Alligator mississippiensis: one gene and its partner. The main gene of each other region encodes a partner of the protein of the gene in region 2 in a complex. Links are inferred from orthologs where the notes say so. Each region holds a gene or a part of one and is shown on either strand. Other genes may lie near its edges.

The links.
Region 1: the proteins of ACTR2 (region 2) and ARPC5L are in contact, whole or in part, in a cryo-EM structure (PDB 6YW6), measured with the Homo sapiens proteins. The link is inferred for Alligator mississippiensis from reciprocal best matches to the Homo sapiens genes ACTR2 and ARPC5L. Residues at the interface, in NP_005713.1 of Homo sapiens: Tyr225, Glu263, Phe266, Gln267, Arg319, Lys322, Gln323, Ser338; in NP_112240.1 of Homo sapiens: Arg11, Arg12, Val13, Asp14, Ile15, Asp16, Glu20.

What each region holds. Positions count from the first base shown.
Region 1 is NC_081835.1:66,433,595-66,442,916, forward strand, and holds the start of ARPC5L (actin-related protein 2/3 complex subunit 5-like protein), read right to left. Parts: upstream 4,586-9,322; 5' UTR 4,502-4,585; coding exon 4,358-4,501; intron 606-4,357; coding exon 534-605; intron 1-533. Other genes in the region: PPP6C (serine/threonine-protein phosphatase 6 catalytic subunit), read right to left, coding at 5,906-6,154, 6,774-6,983, 7,152-7,231, 8,542-8,683, 9,238-9,303. UniProt on the Homo sapiens protein: May function as component of the Arp2/3 complex which is involved in regulation of actin polymerization and together with an activating nucleation-promoting factor (NPF) mediates the formation of branched actin networks.
Region 2 is NC_081824.1:214,970,831-214,981,240, forward strand, and holds the start of ACTR2 (actin-related protein 2), read left to right. Parts: upstream 1-6,237; 5' UTR 6,238-6,252; coding exon 6,253-6,333; intron 6,334-10,410. Other genes in the region: N(4)-(Beta-N-acetylglucosaminyl)-L-asparaginase, read right to left, coding at 1-54, 1,812-1,950, 3,747-3,858. UniProt on the Homo sapiens protein: ATP-binding component of the Arp2/3 complex, a multiprotein complex that mediates actin polymerization upon stimulation by nucleation-promoting factor (NPF).

The DNA of each region.
Region 1 (9,322 bases), on a different chromosome or scaffold from region 2:
ATAGCACATTACAAAATCCACACAGATGTGGTTTCAGGCACATCCCGCCAGCCCTTACCTCTTTTGAGTGTCAGGAGTTTGGCATGTCATGGGACTGCTGCCCTTTGACTCACCTGCCGTTTGTCTCTGCATGTTGGTTCTTACCCCCCTCCTACCCATGGAACTGGAGCCAGTGGGACATCAAATGTACTGTGGCACACAGACTCTGACTGTGTATGAACCTGCCATCATACCGCTGCGTGCACATTGTCAGAGAAGCCCTAATTGTCTTGGAAAGCTTCTCAAAATTATTTTTGTCTTTAAGGTTGCACAGGAAAGGTGCAGATACGGCATGAGAAGTGTTACTAATTGGGAATCATAGCATATGTTCATTAGTTCACAAACAGTTCCACACTACGGTACTGATGACCAGCTACTCGTATTTTGAGAAAGCAGCCACTGTTCTGAAGTATCCCAGCAATCCACTGCCGAATCGCTAGGGACCCATATGCCAACACTGAAAGAGGATGGAAAAGCCCAAAGGCCTCATTTACCTTTACTGCTTGATTCTTCGTGTTAACCGAAGAATTCCTTAAGGCCATGTGGAAAGCTCGGAGCATATCGCCTGTGCAGCACAGCAAGTCAAGGATGCAAGTCGTTTAGTTATTCTTTAATTATTAATGACTCTAGAAGGGACAGTCCAGAACGCGTGGCACTGGATTTTGCAACACATCACCATCTCCTAAGAGCAGCTAAACAGGAAGAAAGGACAAACTGCAGCAACCATTCCCTTTGCTAAGACAATCCTAACCCTCATTTTAATGTAGTTACAACCAGGAATATAGGCTTCTGAGTACTCCAAATGTCTTCATAGCATATTCTGGAATAACAGAGCAGAGCTGATTTCCAAAGATGGTGCAACAGGAAAATGCCAGCAAGTGCATCATGAGGAAAGGAAGTGACAGCCACCGGGAAACTCAAGTCAAGGTCAGCAGACCCTCCTTTACTTTTTCCAATCGTTCAGGATTTAACCATAATGGATGAATGTCACCCTGACCTTTGGGCTACCCTGACTCGTTGCAAACATTGCATTACTTAATGAGGAGCAGAATTAATATTCTACAGACACCAAAATCCTAAAACAGCCAAAGGGAGTTAGTTCTTCAGGGACCTTGTAACCTGAACACACAATCCAGAAAGATTTCCCAATTCTTTCTGTGAGTAAGACACACATCCAGCATCAGGGCCACACCTCCTACAGCTAGAATTTGCAAAGTGGATTTAGGCTTTCAAGGTCAGAAGAAAAACAAATGTTAAAAGATATGTCCAGAGTTAAGCATGAGCATAACATATCCAGAAGGAAAGATCATTGTCAAGGTGATAGTTCCATTTATGAGCTTAAAGGAATTTGTTCATAAAAAAAAATTAAAAATCTACAACTAAAACCTCAGACTTCACTACAGATCTTTAGCTCAGATGTTATTTCCACCCTGACACATGGACATATAAACTTGAAATCCACAGTAAAGACAGATATCCAAATGCCCTGAAGGGGAAATAGTAGGTACATAATAGAATAGATGTATAATATATGTTTGGATGTGTCAGGCAGTTCAACTCCTTATCTCCAGGAGAGATGGAAGTACCTTGGACAGACACTGAGAATTAACAACCCTCTGCTGTGGCAGGTGTGCCACTGGGCAGCTGGAGAAACTAAAAAAACAAAAAAGTTACCTCCAAGTATTCAGATAACACACAGCACAAGAAATGTGGCCTACCTCATAGGAGATGTGATTAAATACATCTCCTAAAGCAAAGATATATAACAGAATAAAGTATTCTATTGCAGGAATAGAGCTGAAGACGACAGCATGCATTTCTGTCACTATCCCCCACGGGAAGGAACACTTGATATCCCGATCTCTGCAAATGAAAATGTGCAATTTTCTTGTGCTACAAACTGTAGTAGGACGTGCCAGGTGGACAAGACAGCTGCTACGCTTACTGGGCAGTTACACACACCATTACAAAGCTAATCAGGTTCTAAAGGAATCACCACCACAAACAGACTTCTCCAGGGGACAGGCCAAGGAGCACTGGTCTCAACTGCAGCAAGGGAAGTGTAGGTTGGACACTGGCAGTCTCTCACTGCGCGTGGTGACGCTCTGGAACAGGCTACCTGGAGCAGGGGTGGGATCTCCATCTCTGGACGTTTTAAGTGCAGGTTAGACAGATACTTGGCTGGGATGGTTTAGGCAGAGATGACTGTGCTTTGAACAGGACGTTAGACCGGACACTTCCTGAGGTCCCTTCCAGCCCTATTTTTCTATGAGTCTAAGCCACAAAACCACGTAGCAAAAGTAAGACTGCGAGAGCCCTTCAGCAGACCATGAATTACAAGCAAGCATTCATTTTGCTTCAAGGTCAACTTCCTCTTCATTTGTAATTTTTAAAGCAGTTCAGGTTGACAGAACATCCTTTGTCAGTTAAGCTGACAAGGCTTCACTGTTACAGAAACAGAAACCTTGTCACTCACTACAAAATGTACAGACAGCCCTGACAGCAGAAAGTCCTTGGTCTCAAGTACCCATAAACTAGGCTGTGGAACTGCGACACAGCAGCATACTTGGAGGAGGAGGAGGTAGGAACATGGATTTTTTAAATTGATTTGCTCACTTCCAAGAATGCCAAATAACGAGAACAGAGGATGGCCAGAAGCAGTCTGCATTGCTGACAACTCTAACAGGAAGCCTCGAAGGATTAGCTATTTTTCTTTCCCCTCTGCTTAAAATACAAGGCCACAGAAGGGTGATGATTAAACTATTTATAGCCCATCCCTGAATACCAAGCTATTGCCAATCTATCAAACCCAAAACCATGCACAGAAAACAAACCAACCAAGCCTGCCCTGTAATAGTCAGGGACGTGTTCCTCCAGACACTCTCTCAGCCAGGATTACTTCTTGAATGAACTGACTTAGCAAGGAATAAGGCCGGAGTGACAGCGTCCGCTGAATTCTGATCAGGAAAAAGGATCAAGTCATGTTACACGTTTCGCTGCTAATCAGAGCATCTGAAGTAACTCCAAGCATTTTACACTGAAGGGATCTTATTTAAGAACTCGATGGCTCCAAACACTGACAATAAGATCCAGTGCTTTTCACCTTGCTATCGCTGATTTGAATCCAGCAGACACTAAGAGTAACCCACATCCGAGGGCTGCTTGGTGGGTCTTGATCCAGCCCTTCGGGCAATCCCACAGCACACTAGTCCCTTTTCACAGCTGCAGTGAAGAGGCCAAGCGGTGACGTCAGCGAGGCACATAAATAGCATCTCTAAGCTAGATGTGCTTTTTTGCGGGTGGAAATTATCAGCCTCTTGAGCCACCAAACACTCCTCCACGCCCCCCTCCCACCCAATCAATCTGTGCTTAAAAAAGGAGATCTGCAAACCCCAAAATGAACCCGAGAGGCAGAAGGCTACAGGCGCTCTCTCTCCCGCCGGCCCTCCCCGGTCGTTAGGATCCTGCTCTCTCCCCCCCGCGCGGACACGAGGCTTCGTTCCAGAGCGCGCAGCGGAGGAGCCGCTTCGCTTTCATCTGCTGAGCGATCTGGGTTAGGTCCCAGCGCAGACGGCGGCAGCAGAGTTATTTTAAGCACCTTGACATCAGTTTGGCACAAGTGGCATATTTCCACACACGCCGTCCTACTTGGGAGGCGGTTTCAGAAACGGGGCGAGGCGACGGAACGGGCTCGTCCTATACGAGGCTCCCCGTCCGCCGCCGCTCGCAACCCCCGTTTGTGACCGAATTAATTCTGGGTGGTTTACCGGGGCGGCCGGCAGCTGTGCCTAAATCACGAACCAAGCGCCTTTCCAGCCGCTATAAAAACCGAGGGTCGGGCGCCGCCTCGGTTCGCAGGCGTCGGGGGCTGGAGGCGACCTCGCAAGATCACCGGCCGCAGGCAGGAGACGAGCGGGGCAGCGGTTCGTAACGGGCCGCGAGATCCAGCAGCGACGAACAGCCCCGTCCGCGTCGCGACACAGACCCGGGCCCCCCGCGGCTTCTCAGCCCGTTTCGGACGTCGCGGGATCCCCCCCCCTCCAACCGTACAGTGCAAACTACACCTACACCCCTGCGCTTTTCCCCCCGGTCCCCGCCTGCCCGGGCCTGGGCGCAGCGAGAGGCGGCGGCCCTGCCCAGCGAGGGGGCGGGGGTTTTAGGTTGACCAGAAACGAATCTGCGTTTCGAGGCCGGGTCCCCGGTCGCCCCTTTCCCTTGGGAGGATGCGGCCGGGCGCCTGCTCGCCCGGCACTGGAGGAGAGGAGAGGAGAGGAGAGGGCCCGGCCCCCAACCCGCTCGCCCGCCGGAAGGAAGGATATTGCCGCAGCAGCGCCTCCACCTCGGGGCCGGGGTCGGGCTCGGCCGCCGCCGCCGCCTCGTCCGGCTCCTCCACGAACTTGTTCTCGTCGTACTCGTCGATGTCGAGGCGGCGAAAGCGCGAGGACAGCGTGTTCCGGGCCATGCCGGGCCGGCGGCCTAGGGGCGGCGCGGCCCACCCGGCCCGGCCCGCTCCGCGCCGCACCGCGCCTCGCCTCGCCTCGCCGCGCCGCGCCGCTTCCGGGACGGCCGGAACAGGAAGCTCCGTCAGAAGGGGAGGGCGAGAGGCGGGCCGGAAGCGAGGCGAGGCGGCACTTCCGGGTGGGCGGGTCACGACCCGAGCAGAGGGCTGGCCCCAGAACCGCCCCCCGACGTCACTTGTCACAGGAGCGAAGGGCATGGAGGTTTCTACCCGGGACTGAAGCTACTCCCCCCCCCCCAGGCTTGCAACCAGGGTCCCAAGCGCGTGGCGTGGCGTGGCGTGGCGTGTCACGTCACCACGGGCCCTTTGGTTCTCCGACACGTAACGGTACACGCGTCACCCGCCGCCACGTCTATGCAACACTGCGGTTAGCGTGTAAAACGGCCCCCCGACTGCCAGCCACCAGCTCGGTCGTGTCTTTCGTGCGTGGACGAGGCCGCCTGGGCCAGACCAGGACCCAGCCTCGCGCGCCAGGAGCTGCGGTTGCTCACGAGAACGGCAACGGGACGTCGCGGGACCCGCACGCCTAGAAAGACGCAGCTGCCGCTCTTGGCACGGTCGCGTTTCGGAGCAGAGCCGCGGTGGCTGGATCGCTTCCCCGCGAGCGAACCAACCAACGGGGTACGCGGCTCTCGAGACGGAAAAGGACGGACGTTCACATCAACAATGCAGGATTTTTATTTGCAATATTTAACCTAGGAGGTGGATTTCATTTAAGATATGACTTTATTAAAAATACAAGGTATCTGAAAAAATCAGAACAATTATTTTAATGTACAAATTCAATAGCTGTAGCACGTTCTTTCTATTTTAATTGGAATCCTAAAAAAACAAGAGGGAACAGCCCTTTAGACCACTTTATTTCATATCCACTTAAAACAAGATATAACAAGGACAAATTCAGTTTTACGCCTTGGAGATGTGTACACAACGCATTTACAGTCCCATCGTGCACACCAGGTAACTTTGCTGCTGAAATTTCTTAAAACTTACCAAACAAAACGTTGAATGACATAGTGGGCTATCCAAATAGTCCCAATGCATTTATGACTTTTTTTTATTTTTTTTTTTAAAGAGGGAAAACATTTCACCTACAACCAGAAATATACAAGAACTATATGCAGCAGTGTAAATGGTGAGGACATTTCACAAGCATTCTCAATTTGATCCAGGGTGGGGAAATCAAGGTATATTCGCTACAGACTCCATCATACACAATAAATTTAGATAATTTAAAAATAAAAAAAGGCAAGAGGCAGCATTTCAGCAGCAAAGTGCTCAATAAAAAGTATATTGTAGAGGGATAGTACAAGGGAATGGGGGGAAACAGCAGGACGGGAAAAGATCTCAAAGGAAATACGGTGTAGTTGTTCTAGGAGGAATTACACGTTCTGAGTCTGGAACTGCACGGAATAGCTTTGGTTCTCTTGTATTTACATCTTTAAAGACCATGATTGATGCAATATTTCCGCAGCGGTAGCAGTAATTCGGCGCAGACCATACTGTTACCAATTTCTCATCAAACATGAATTTATAGCCTTCATGCACTAGCTGATGCGCTCTGCAGATGAGTTTTAAGTTGTTGATATGAACAAACTGTAACAGAAAGAAAGAAAAGGCGTGTAAACGTATGCAAGAGTCAGAGATGCTCTTTATACGGCAGCTCTGCCACTTAGAGCAACGTATCTTAAGGGCAAACAAGTATCCCACTTAATGAAGAGGTTCGCTTTGCAAACCTGCACATAATTGTCAGCAGGAATCACTGCTAGTTTTACTGTAGATAAAATTCATTAAAGACTCCTTAGTTGTGCCTCAGACTCCTCTGAGATAATGAGATAGGTATCCTTTTTCATGCCACTGAGAGACTGGTTAAGGAACTAGTTAACAAAGGGTAAACAATCATAACCAACAGTAACAGAAGCAGAAGCTAAGACAGCTCATTTTGAGAAGGAAAACACCACTTTGCGTACTTGGCAGTGGGAATACCACTGGTTTTAAAAGCTGGAAAGGCTCTTAGTGAGGTACGTCTAGTACTTAATACTGTCCAATAGTAAACTGCAATGGTGTACAAAACTTTAAGTGAATTACTGTTCTGTCTGAGACAGCTGCACTGTACACGGGGAAATCATACAACTCTACCTGCACACGCTTGAGGGTAAACATTTTAGCTAACCAGGTGTCAGCACTTCTACATTCTACTTCACGATGCTTTTACCTCATTTGTGACCTTTGCACCAAACAGCCAGCCTGCTCCTCGGGGACTAATTGCCCAGGTGTCAACATCCTCTGGGTCAGACCAGACCAGGTCACAGAAGGCTCCTTTGTGAGGAATTTCTTGATTACGTTCAATGGTTCGAATCTGATCCAGTGTCTTGATGTCGGGAGATAGGCCACCATGTACACAGAGAATCTGCTCATCTATTAACTGAAGGAAAAAGGACACGGTGTCAGGTATGGCACAGCCTTACTTCTCCCTTCAATCTGACACAGCACACTGCAAGGGAACAGTGAAAGACTACTCTCAATTGCTTGAGAGAGATGTCTAAAGAAACAAGCCATGCTTAATATTTCTCAAAATGAGCATAAAACTTACAGCTGCTACTGTGAGCATGTCGAACACTTTGGTACAGTATCTCCAAGCATTAGCATTTCCATATTTGGTTTGGCACTCATCTGTTAAAGAGAGAACCTGTTTTACTGCCTGAATGTGGAAAAAAAAACCGTTGAAAATTTCAACTAGAACTTGACATTTCAAACAGTTAAATATAGGTCACTCCATCACGCAGGAACACTGACTGGACCACAGTGAGAAGGCATGTTTCCCATAGCCATCTGCAGCTTCTTCTATGCCTCTGTTTTATCGTGTCTTGTATGCTCAGGCAATACAGAGACTTGGACCCTGCGCCAACATAACTGAAAGTGTTTTCTCCCTTTCCCACAACCCACTCAAGCTCACTTTGAAAAAAGCCTTAACTGGACTGCCTCAATTGCTATTCAGTGAAAACAAGTCAGATACTGGACTGATCAAAAGCATCTGGCCTATACAGACCAAAAGAAGCAAGCTACAGCAGCTTTGATTCCTCAACTCCACAGCCAGTTCCAAAATCTGCCAGAGGAGCCACATCAGAGCACAGACTGGAGAGGGTGTTTTGTTTAAGGGAAACTTTTATTTCCACATTTATGGTACAGAGTCACTGTAAGAAGCTGAGACAACCCTTTCTGAACAGCCTCTGCTACTGCCTTTAACTGCCACAAGATCACAGTGTGCCCATCTGCACAGGCAGCTGAATTACATAATATCCTTTTCCTGCCCAAATTGAGAGGAGACACAGCCTGCAGTAGAGCTGTAATGAACTAGGTTTAAAACAGCTCTAGGCAACCTGTACCTAGCAAGCAAGGATTCCTTTGCCATCTTAGGCCACTATGTCAAAATTCAGACCCATTTGTCCTTGCTGTCACATGCATCCCGTTATGGACTACACATTGTCCGAAACAGCTATTAGTGCCTGAAGGCTCTGCTGCAGGCTCCGTCACTTCAGCAACTGAGATGTCACTTCTAGGCGCATCTACTCCCTCAATATTTAAGTGGCGGCTCTGTTGCTTAATAGTGGTGAAACATCTATCCCTTAATGTCCATTTACTGCCCTACTCACAGCTTACCAGGTAAATCATTTTTGTTACTATGACAACACAGAATAAAACCAGGTCTAATGAGAATCTCAATATTAATTTTGCTTTCTAATAGGACTTTACAAGATACCAGAGTACTTCAAATATTACGCCTCGGCATTCTCAAGTGATTAACATACAACGTATCCGTGAAATTGGAATAAAGCTGAAGACCTGCTTAAAATTTTATGGAAGATCAGGGACTGGACCCCATTTCCACAACCCACTCTGCCAACAGGAAAGCTATATACACTAGCAGGAAAAAAAAAAATCAGATGTCCCTAAGGAAGATCTGCCTTGTTAACCAGTCTTACCATAAAATCCGTACACTTGTGTTATCTGCCTGCTTTCATGATTGCCCCGTAAAAGCGTGATACGATCAGGCCATTTAGCTTTTAGTGCAAGAAGGTAGGTGAAAGTCTCGAGACTATAGTAACCTCTGTCTACGAAGTCACCCTGTAAATTGAAAGTACGAATTTATAAGTAGAAAGCAAGTCAACTTGTCACATAGTAACGCATCTATTTCTAATGCCTCAATTTGCCAAAAAGTCTGACTCGGAATGTCAGTCTTCATCTCTGTTTTATCAACTCTGAAGACTACTTTAATTCCCAGCTAAGATTTAGATTATTCAAAATTTCACAGCTGAAAACAAATATTCCCCCTATGCTCCTATATTTCGGGTCATATAAGGTTGCACATGTTCTAAGACACATTCAGGATGTCCTTTTTGTTGGTATCATGAACTACAGGTTTTATTTAGCAAATGCTGTAATTTATTTCCTTTTGGGAGAGCCAGCACTGAATATTTCAAATTCTGCTGGACAAAGCAAATGCTACATGTTACCAGAAAAGAGGGTGAACAGAGTGGAAAGCTTTTTCACATGCCTAAGATGTTTACAAGCAAGAATTGTAAATGAAAATGAAAACCAAAAGAGAGCTGAAATCCCCTTTAGATCAGTATATTTTTAAAAAATGATTACCTTTTGCGTGATCAACAATTTTTACATACCATAAATATATAGTTTGTGTCAGGAACCTGACCTCCAGTTCTGAATAATTCACATAAGTCATAAAACTGTAAAGAAGAATTTGCA
Region 2 (10,410 bases):
CTGTGGGTATTTCTCTCCATGACTTTACGAGCTACAGCTAGTGGTGTTCCAACTCTTTTGCAAAAGGGAAGATTTACACTTTTATTGAATTTTTATGTACTGATTATTTTTTCTCAACTCAGTGTAACAACAAAAACAAGTGCCAAAAATACAGGAAGTTAAAACCAACAAGAAACCAATTAGATTCCAAGCACAGGGAGAGCATAATTTGTTAGTAAATATCTTTTTACTGGAACTTTTTTAAAACCTTAAAGCAGTCTGAACAGGATATACTCAACCTAGACAGTCCAAATTAGTGCTGTACTGTGTTTCCCCTAAATTTTCCTGTTTATAAGTTTTTCTTTGACAGACTTATCTGCTCTAGATCCTTTGACCATAAAAGAGCTGTCAGTTCCTTTCATATCATTTAGAGTTCAACTAAGCCACCTATTAGTAGGATTCCGCAAAAAATACATTGTTTCTTTAACAGGGCTCGTGGATTTTTATGCAGTTACTTGGTTAAAATTGAGGACCCATTATTCTCTACTGATGGTGTAGCAGTGGAAACACTACTAAGCATAGAGAAAGCTCAGACCCTTTTTATTCTGGGTTGTCTAAACCTATTCTGCATCTTTATCACTGTAGCAATTCCTGACACTCCTTACTACTTGAATCATTTTTAACAACAGAGCTGCACTCATTATAAGTTACACATCCCTATTTTCCTATTACAGATGTGTTCATTCTTTTTCTTCTCATATTTTAAATACACTTGTGAATGTGAAGTCAGGCTCCAGCTGAATTAAACTGGTAAAAAAAACCCAACTTTAAAATGTCATTCAGTTCAGAACACATTCCTTCCTGCATTATACCTGTCCTATAACGAAACATAAGAATCCCATAAGACCACTCAATAACCATCAGCAGTAGTTAGCACCAAATATAGCAATGGATTTTAATTGCTATGCTGTACTATACACCCGAGGTCCTCCTTAACAGACCTATTTCCATTACAGAACTTGCATCCTGTTGATGTCTAATCTTACTTGCTGTGTCAGATTAACAAAATTAATTGGTTACTGGTGTATTACATGCCAGGTTTCAACATTACCGTCTTTACACAAAAATGTTTTCAATTACTCTGTTATGAATTAGAGCATGGCTTTCTTCCTTAGTAGCCCAATTACTGGAAAAACTGTCATTTACGAAAGTCATGGGGGCAATGTTACTAAGATGGACAAAAGATCATTTGCATATTTAAAATGACCTAGTTAATATACAGCACTTGTATTAGTTAATGCATTAGTGTTTTACATTAAGCACATGAGGTTGGAAATCTAGCTTACCTCAGTTGGACCATACTTTGCCATTATAAAACAATCATTGAAAATTACTGGAAGCTTGCATGAAAATTAGTTGCAGGATATGACCCAATGGAAAATAAACGTGTGTAGCACTTTCATCCCCTTACCTCAAGCATTTTACAAATGTGGGATAAGTCTTTGTTTGTGGGATAAGTTTGTAGACAAAGAAATTGCCAGGTCAAATGACTCATCCAAGGTTGTGTATGTTAGTCAACTGCAGACCAGGCAATAGAGCCCAACTCTTGTGCCTATCAAACCAGTGTCCTATCTACAGGACCACAGTGTAAAACAAGTCAGATGATTTCAGTTTAGTTAATATTTCAGGCTTGATAGGAGGCTTCCACTGCAATTGCTTATTGTGCTTTATCCAGCAATGCAAATCCCTCACTTTTATGGACATGAAACCTTTCCACATACTTATAAAAATCTATGCATGTTGCCGCAGGTAGATTAAAGCACATTACGTACCCAGACAGAGCCGCTACTGCTCCAAAATGACAAGAATGCCCTTCCATTACAGCAGCATCACACTGGATTAATCCATCTTTGTTTGGGTAGCCTCCTCGTCCTACTACATAACTCCCTGTCTCCTCATCATTTTCAATAGCTGGAGATAAGTAAAGTTTAAAAATAGTTAAGCGTTAGACCCAAGTTTCCATTTTTTAAAAATCCGAGTGCTTCCCAAAATCCCATTAAGAAATTGAACAGTACAGAAGGGTCAAAACGAACACTATTTATGGGGGACTGACATACGCATATGAAAGAGTGACCTACATCCCCCAGGCTGTACCCCATGTCTACAGATAGGCACCCCACATCCTGTTACAATGGGGAAGCGGGCACCCCCACCCCATTATGCAGTGCCGTGCCTCACCGACAACTCCCTGTGGACTTTTTGGAGGCACTTTGTCACAACAGGGCTCTGGGCTGCTAGCTCCCCTGACACCACAGGTTGTGGGGGAAGGTTAAGCTGGACTGTATCATGTCCTTTGTCCCCCCTGGGGGTAGGTCAGGCAGTGGAAACTGGGGGAGGGGAAGCCCCAAGATCCCATCTGATATAACAGGGGCAGCAACGACCTAGTGGAAGTCTGGGGTAGCACCATACCTAGACTCATTGTGGCCCCGGGCAAACTCTTCATCAGCGATAACAACAACAACAACAGGAAAACGGGGAAAAATTACCATTTTGGGCCCCATATCTGTCCAAGCCCCGGGCAGCTGCCCAGTTCACCCATGCCTGTGTCTGGCCCTGGTCTGCGGGCTGCTTGTGAACCCTTCCCAAACCATGTGCAGCCCATGGACTGCCAGCTGGACAGCCCTGCCATAAACAAAGGAATTGTGCTCAAGTGCCTTTGGCTACATTGAAGTAAAAGACATTTGTTCTAACATTAGGTAGCACCAGCGATACAGGAATTATCCAAAAAGCCGAACAGCATTTCTGTAGCCTCATTTCAGTTGATGGGAAATTTGGATACACAAGCAAAGCAGTTGAAAAGCAAAGCAGTTCTGGGCCAAAAAGACAGGAAACTCGATAAGAGCTCTGTCTGTCTGTTTCTTTAAAGAAATAAACACCTGTTTACTCAGAAGGGGACAGAAACTGGCAAGGGAAGGGGACTGATGGGGGCTCCAGTCAGCCTGGAAAAGTAACAACTGCCCCAAAACAGTACAGGGTACTTGACCATGTATTTTTTTAACTCCATGAGGGCAGACACTTGAAGTCCTGCCACTTTTATACACAATGTGCCTTAAGTTTGTGTTGATGGATGCAAGGTCACGAGACAAACAAACTATGCTGGGATGCACGCAGAGCAGGGGCTCTCACCCTTCCCAGACTCAGGGCAACATTCAGAAAATGCCAGCTCTTCATTTTCACTCATGTTTCCACAGCCGCTGAGCTGAAGCCTTTGGAGAGCCCCCAGCAGGACACAACAGATTTAAAACCGCTGGCTTGAAAACTCAGGGTTTCTCTTAGGAATCAGGGGCAGATCCAAAGGGGGGGTGGGGGGGGGTGTATTAGTGCATCTGTGCCCCCCACTTTTGACCCCTGCTCCACTCCAAGCTTAAAACCATGCACTTAGCAGCAGCATTTCTAGCCAGGTAAAGCTGAGGGAGCCACTTGACTTCCCGGAGCCGCTCCCCTCCAAGCGCTTCACTCTCGGGTCGTTAACGTCTGTCCGCGCCCGTGGAGCGCTCCCACGTCCCGCCCGTGCGGCGCGCCCGGCCCCTCCCGCTGCGCCTGCGCCTCCTTCCTTCCCAGGAGCGGGCGGCGTCCAGTGGGGCTTTCCTCCGACCCCGCGCGGCCCATCCCCACAAGTCCAGCTCCCATTGCTTTTTAAAGGGGAAAAAACCAAACAACAACCAGGTGTTAACCCCTCAGCGCTGCTGCACGGGGTCTCCCCTCACCTGCCATGGCTTCCTGCACGCAGTCCGTGGCGTCCGCGCCTCGCAACAGCAACTCCCGCATCTTGCGCAGGGCGGGCAGTGAGAAGGCCCAAGTGCCCGCGGCCGCCGCCATGGCAACGCCTCGTGGAGTGGGGGGAGGGGGCGAACATGCCGACCGGCAAAAAAAAAAAAAAAAGGTGGGAGAGAGGGGGAAAACCGACGGGCAGAGCGCTGATTGGCTGGCGGCGGCCTGTCAGTCACGGCGCGCCAAGGGCGGAGCTAGAAGCGGTGGCTTCCGGTGTGTGCGAGGCCGGCGGTTGAGTGGGGCGATTGGCCGGGCGCGGACATGGACACGCTGGGCAGGAAGGTGGTGGTCTGTGACAACGGCACCGGGGTGAGTGGCGGGGCCCGGCCCGGCTCGGCTCTCGTGGTAGCGCGGCCTGCTTCCTGCCGGGGCTCCGGCTCCCGTCCCCGCCCAGGGCTACCCCACCCCCGCCGCTGTATCGCGGCGCCTTGAGGCCCCAGCCCCGCTGCCCCACCCCCGCTCCGTGGTTACCCCGCCGTGGCGGCACTGCTTCCCCCCCCCCGGGCTGTAACGCAAGGCGGGGCTCCTCGGGGCCGGGCAGGCGGGAGTGGGGCGGGGCGCACGGGCGTGGAGGGCGGTGTTCCTTCCCCGCCACTTCCGCGCCCGCCTGCGGCCGGCGGCGGGGACAAAGAGGGGGCGAGGGTCGGGCCTGCGAGCGGGGTCGTTGGGTGGTGGGAAAGGATCCGGCCGTTTTGGGATCCTGCGGCCTGATGGGTCCACAGAAGATGACTGTACTCAATTAAATGTACGTGAATACCCACACTTACAATTCGGAGGGGTCCACACATCCATTCTAAATTGTTATGGGGTCCGCAAATGAACAAAAGGTTGAAAACCACTGGTTTAGCACCTCTGCAGTTATTGGATGATGGTATTGTAGCCTTGCTAGGTCCCTTCTCCTTCTTGGGAACATTTAGAGAACTAAAGAAACTGACATTACCAAGGGAGGAAGAACTTTTGCATCAGGCAATTGGGGAAGTAATTTTTATTCAGACTTTCTTTTTTTTTTTTTTTAAAGTACTCCTTCCCCTTAAATATATAATGCTGAAAGCTAAGGAGCACATGAGACACAGTGCATCTTTGCTGCTGTTTCAACACTGCTATTTTAAGACTTGACAACTCTCAATAAATAGCCAAGTTCCCTAAGAAAGTGCTTAAGGAAAAGAAATAATTTTCTATTTAATAGTGATAGGGCATGGAATCTTTAGGTCATCTTTATTTATTATAAAGAAAAAAGTAGTTTGCTGTTTTAGAATAATTATTACTAATATTTTTTCTGAGCTATGTAAGGCAGTGATGCTCAGTCTTTTGGTCCAATGGATCAAATGAGTGGTGTAGGGCTTGGTCATGGTCCCCTGCACCAGGATTGGGCCCTACAGTACCTCTGCCCAGCCCACACACCTGGATTGGGTCATATACAGACTTGCATGGCCCCTGTGTCATCCCTGCCTGACCACATACATTAGGATTGGGCCCCACGCTGCTGTATATGCCTAAATCAGCATGCAGGGCTCCTCATGGAAAATTTGGCCACTACTTTGTTGCCACCAAATTTTTGGACCCACAGGGGGTCCTGCAGGCTGGCTAACATGGCACCAGGGTTTAAATGTGGCCCATAGGCCAGGGATTGAATGCTCCTGAAGCAAGCAACAGCACCATTATTAGAATTTTAAAATTGCCTAATGAACCCAAGGATTTGACCATATAAACAAGAACTATTTTCAAATTATAGTACAGGTTTCCCTCACCAACCACGGTTTGATTATCCATGCTTTAGAGAAGCTGGGGGATGCAGTTGGAAAATACCCCCCATGCCCCTGGCCCTGCTTGTGACTCTCACTCCCCCCCCAACCCTACACCCCCCCCCTCCCCCCCCCCGGCCAGCCTTGCTGGTGCTCCTCACCCCCCACCCACAGCCCCTGTTCCCCCAGCCCTGCCAGTTTTGCCAACCACAGAAACTTTCAGGAACCTAACCCCCATGGTTGGAGAGGGAAACCTGTATAGCTATAGATCATACTTTAAATTATAGTATTTTCAACTTAAGTTTTATATATACTTATTGCAGACCTTTTGTTCATCTAATGTTAAATGCAGCCTCAGTCAGATTGCAATCTTTTTTTTGTTTTTGTTTTACAAAGAGCATCATAAGTGTATTCTCATGACACGTGATATAGGAAGAACTTTGAGAAATTCCATAGAAGCATTTTAAAATCTAGAACATTTAAGCTGCATGTTCTGTGCTTTTCTAGGGCAAATGGCAAATTACTGTAGGCTTGGAATTTTGTCCTAATTATATTTAGAATTCTTTTGTCTGAGTTGCATAACAGTATTTTACCAGGGAGACATAAGATTGTTCAGTATGAAACTTGTCATTAAAACAGGTTTGTGAGCAGATGTAGATGGTGTTCTTATTTTTGTTTAAAAGGAATATCTTTAGCCTGCATGTTCTTACCACTTGATGACTCAGTAGGAAGTGAGAGAAGTCATTTCAACCACAATGCTATGAAGAGGAAACTATATATGGTAAAATAATCTCTTACACACGGTATCTTGCACAGATCAAGCAAACTAAGAAGCTGTTCTTAATACGCTCTCTTGGATTATAAGGTGCAACCTTTACAACTTGCAAAGATGTGGGGGGGATTTCAGTGTCAAGTTCTTCACTATGTAAAGACGGATGCAGTCACGTATTTAAATGTTAAGAATCTGTTGCACCATGCTGAATTCAGATGACTGGTACCTCAAGGAGTACATACATGATGATGTGGTGCATCAGGATTTGTGCCATTGTTAAGGTTTTATGAGAGAGTTCCAGTTTCACAAGAGTGGTGAATACTGGGTATTTAAGCATTAGTAAAATCAAAATTGATTATAATTCTTGATCAGGTTACCTTAAGGGGGGGAGGGGTGTGCCCTCTATTATATAACGTGATGCTCTTGGAGAGATAATAATCTTTGGGGAAACTAAGTGCCTGCCATCTTTTCTTGGGCATATTTGACTTTTTTTCCTCCTCCTTTGTAGTCTTTTTATCAAGAAATCTAAAATGCCCTGGGATCTGTCCTTTTGTCACGTTCTTGCTGTTTGCATTTTGTGCATCAGTTATTGGTTGCTGGTGTGACACAACTTCTCAGCTGGAAATCGCAAACATGTACCAGTCTGAACCACTTGAATCTTACTTGATGATACAAAGTGATAATGGAATTTATATTATTTCGTTTCAAGGGCAGCTGAAAAATGAGGCTGACTTTGGTCATTTATCCCATTCACTAAAGTTCCCTGCCCACTATGAACCTGGGGACAGGGAGCTTCCTAATCTGGGTAAGAGGAGACCAGAAGTTAAAGCATTCTCTCTTCTGTATACCCTTCTAGTTCCTGTGGCACCTGGTAAAAAATTATCAGTGGTAACTGTGGTAAAAATTATCAATGCTGTCAGCCAACACTAACTTAAAAAAAGAGGTGGAAGTAATCAGTTTCTGAACATTCTCATCTTCCCATTTTCTCAAAACGTTAACAGAACACTTAAGATCACTTCCCAGAACAGTGCCTAAAATGGTATATCTCAGTCCTACCATTACACCATCCTGTCTTTCAGAATATCTAAATCATTTTGATGTTCTCTTCTCTCTAACCACTGTATGCCACAGATCCAGGGAGTGAATCCAGAGGTCTCTGATTGCCTTTCTTTTGCTTACTCGACAGTAGCCATTCAGTTTGCTGGGAAGAGGCATGTCAGGTTGTTCTGTAGTGGCTGATATAGGAAAAAGCCAGCAGATATTGTAAAGGTTGTTCACACTGAAGTTTGAAAAGTGCAAACTAATATACAAGTTATTCTGGTGTATGTGGTTCATATTTAACTGTTGGCCTGTCGCTTCGGATTCAGCCGATTCAGGGGACAGTGATTTGAATCACTGCCCAAATCACCTGAATCAAATTGGCATCTGAATCAAACAGCTGCTGCCGCCGCTCCCCCCCCCCCTCCCCGGCTCTCCCAGCCCTGTCAATGGCTGCCCTGCCTGGCCCCAGCCTCCCAGCTCTTCAAAAAAAAAAAAAAAAAAGCCCAGGGCACTCACCAGCTGTTGCCAGGCAGGGGGTTGATCCCTGCTGCTCCCCACTGCCCGATGATGGGTGGGGGGCTCTGTCATGAGCCCCCATCCCCTACCCACTCTCCCAGCCCCAGCATCCTAGCTCATCCTGGCTCTTAAAAAGCCCCCACTCGCTGGCTGCTGCCAGGCAGGGGGGCAATCCCTGCTGCCCCGTACTGTGTGGGAGGCTCTGCCATGAGCCCCAGTCCCCTCCCATGGCTGCCATGCCCACCCCAGTGTCAGGTCATTAAAAAACAAACAAACAGGGGGGTGGTCCCCAATGCCCCACGCTGCGTGGGGGCTCTGCCACAAACCCCCAGAAGCCCCAATGGCCACTGCAATAGCTGATAAGTGCAGGACATTTTCTTTAAAGAACCAGGAGCTGGGGCCAGGTGGGGCAGCCTTGGGGGAGGTCAAAGGGGGGCTGGGGGAGCAGGCAGGGGATGGGTCCCCATGCCACCTCTCTCCGCTTATCGTCTAGCTCCCTGTGGCAGTGAGCGGGGACTGCCTAAATCTCCAAAGCTCTCTGAATCTTTTCTGAATCGATTCAGACCTTTTTTTTGGTCTCCTGATTCAATTAGGAGATTCAGCTGATGAATCAGGCCAAGTCTCCGAATCAAATTGGCACCTGAAGCTTCTCATGGCCATAAAAACTGTTACATTTTTCTGTTTATGTATTGGTATAAATGGAGCTGAACAACTGCAACTTAAAATTTGTTTTCTCTCTAGCTCAAATGAAGGAGGCTTAAAGTTATAGTGGTTTATCTTCGCTTATGCTGATATAAGAATGGACAGATATAAGTTAAATCAGAACAGCTGATGAACAGTCCAAAGTGTCAGTTAATCTCTCCCGTTTCAAGTGGTATTTGTCTACAGCCCTTTGAAATGTCATTAGATTCAAACGCTGGTTACTGCTGCATGTGATGGCCTAACTCCTCAACCAGTGCGCCAGAAAAGGGTATTTACCTTCTCAGTCCTCAAGGCATGTGAAACGCTGGCAGCTCAGATTGAGAGAGTCGCACTTAACACAAGCTGTAAAAACCATTCTGCTTTTTAAAGCATCCTGCGATAATGCATCTCAAGTTTCAGGTGTGCAGGTTATATTGTGAGGGAAGGAAAAAAGCAATAGACGCATCTGTGGATATAATGCTGCTGTTTTTGGTTTTGGCTGTATGCATCCAATTTCACAGATGTCCATGAGAAGCTATGAAATGTGTTGGGCAGTGAATGATACCTGCTCCTTCACGGAATTTCTCTCCAGCTGACTTAATTGCATTAAACCAGGAGAGTGGTACTTTTTAAACAGGGATAAAATATTTTATATGTTTACTTTTCTGGGGCATGCCAGCTGTATAAAAAGCTATGAACCCAGTGAACAAAGCTAGTGACAGTTCAGATTGGTGCAGGACCTTTAGAAGCATAGAGATAAGGGGAAAACATCATTTAAAAAAAATTAAGTTTTATGCTGCCCACGACATCATTGACACTAGACTCAGATGCTCCCTAAGGCTTTTTGCTTCATCTGTAACGGTAATGTTACCCCATTTTCATCAAGCCTACGCTGTTGCAAAACCTGGTATGTTGAGGCAGAATAATATTCTGTAACTTCACAAGTGCATAGGAAATGCGACAGTCCTGCTAATCTGTTGCTGTCTGTTGGATTGCAAGTTTTTTGGAGGGACTGTCTCTTTGGGGCATCCATAGGATCTTGGTCTATGATCAGGGGTCCTAAGCAATATAGTAATATTGTTTAACCAAAAGCAATATTGTGAGATTGCTGAGGTTTTGTGTATGGTACGAGTTTGGAGTAATAGACTTGTAAGGAGCTATTCCTCATTAATCAGTGCGCCCTGAGAGCACTTCAGGCTTTCTTAAATACCCTTTCTTAAGTGTAAAAACACACAAACAGATAGGTTTTGTGACTCTATCCAGTTCAGACCTAAAATAACTAGCGCCCCTTCCTTGCTGTCAGCAGGCACCACTTTCTTTTAGATGTAGATCAAATTTGAATAATTTCTAGATATTTGTGGTCTCAACACAAGCAGAAGGGATCACAAGAACTTGTCTTTCTAATTTATTTTATATTCCTGGAAAGCCTTCTCCTACTTGGAAATTAGTTTTGCCTTTTGCAGAGGAGACAAAAATATTAAGTAAAGCTCTTTCGTTCCTCAAACGTCAAAATGGGTCTATTGTTGGAGCTGACAAAATAAAAAAAAATAAGTGAAGCAAAAGAAAAGCGAGAGCAATCACAGGCAAAAAAAATACTTCCCCCTCTTGCTTTCCCATGGCAGGCCGTGGAATGAAAATTAGACTTGTTCACTAAAATGTTAGTGTTTACTTTGCCTAATAACCAACTCTGTGTGGACTTTGCTTGATGGGAGCTCTCCTGTGGACAGAGGCATGGGTATATCTTCAGTTTTTTAGTTGTAGTCCAGGGAATTTTAATTAAACTACCAGTTGGCTCTTTCCCATGACAAGTTTCATATCCTTTTTCTAAACAGAAATGCAGTAATGCAT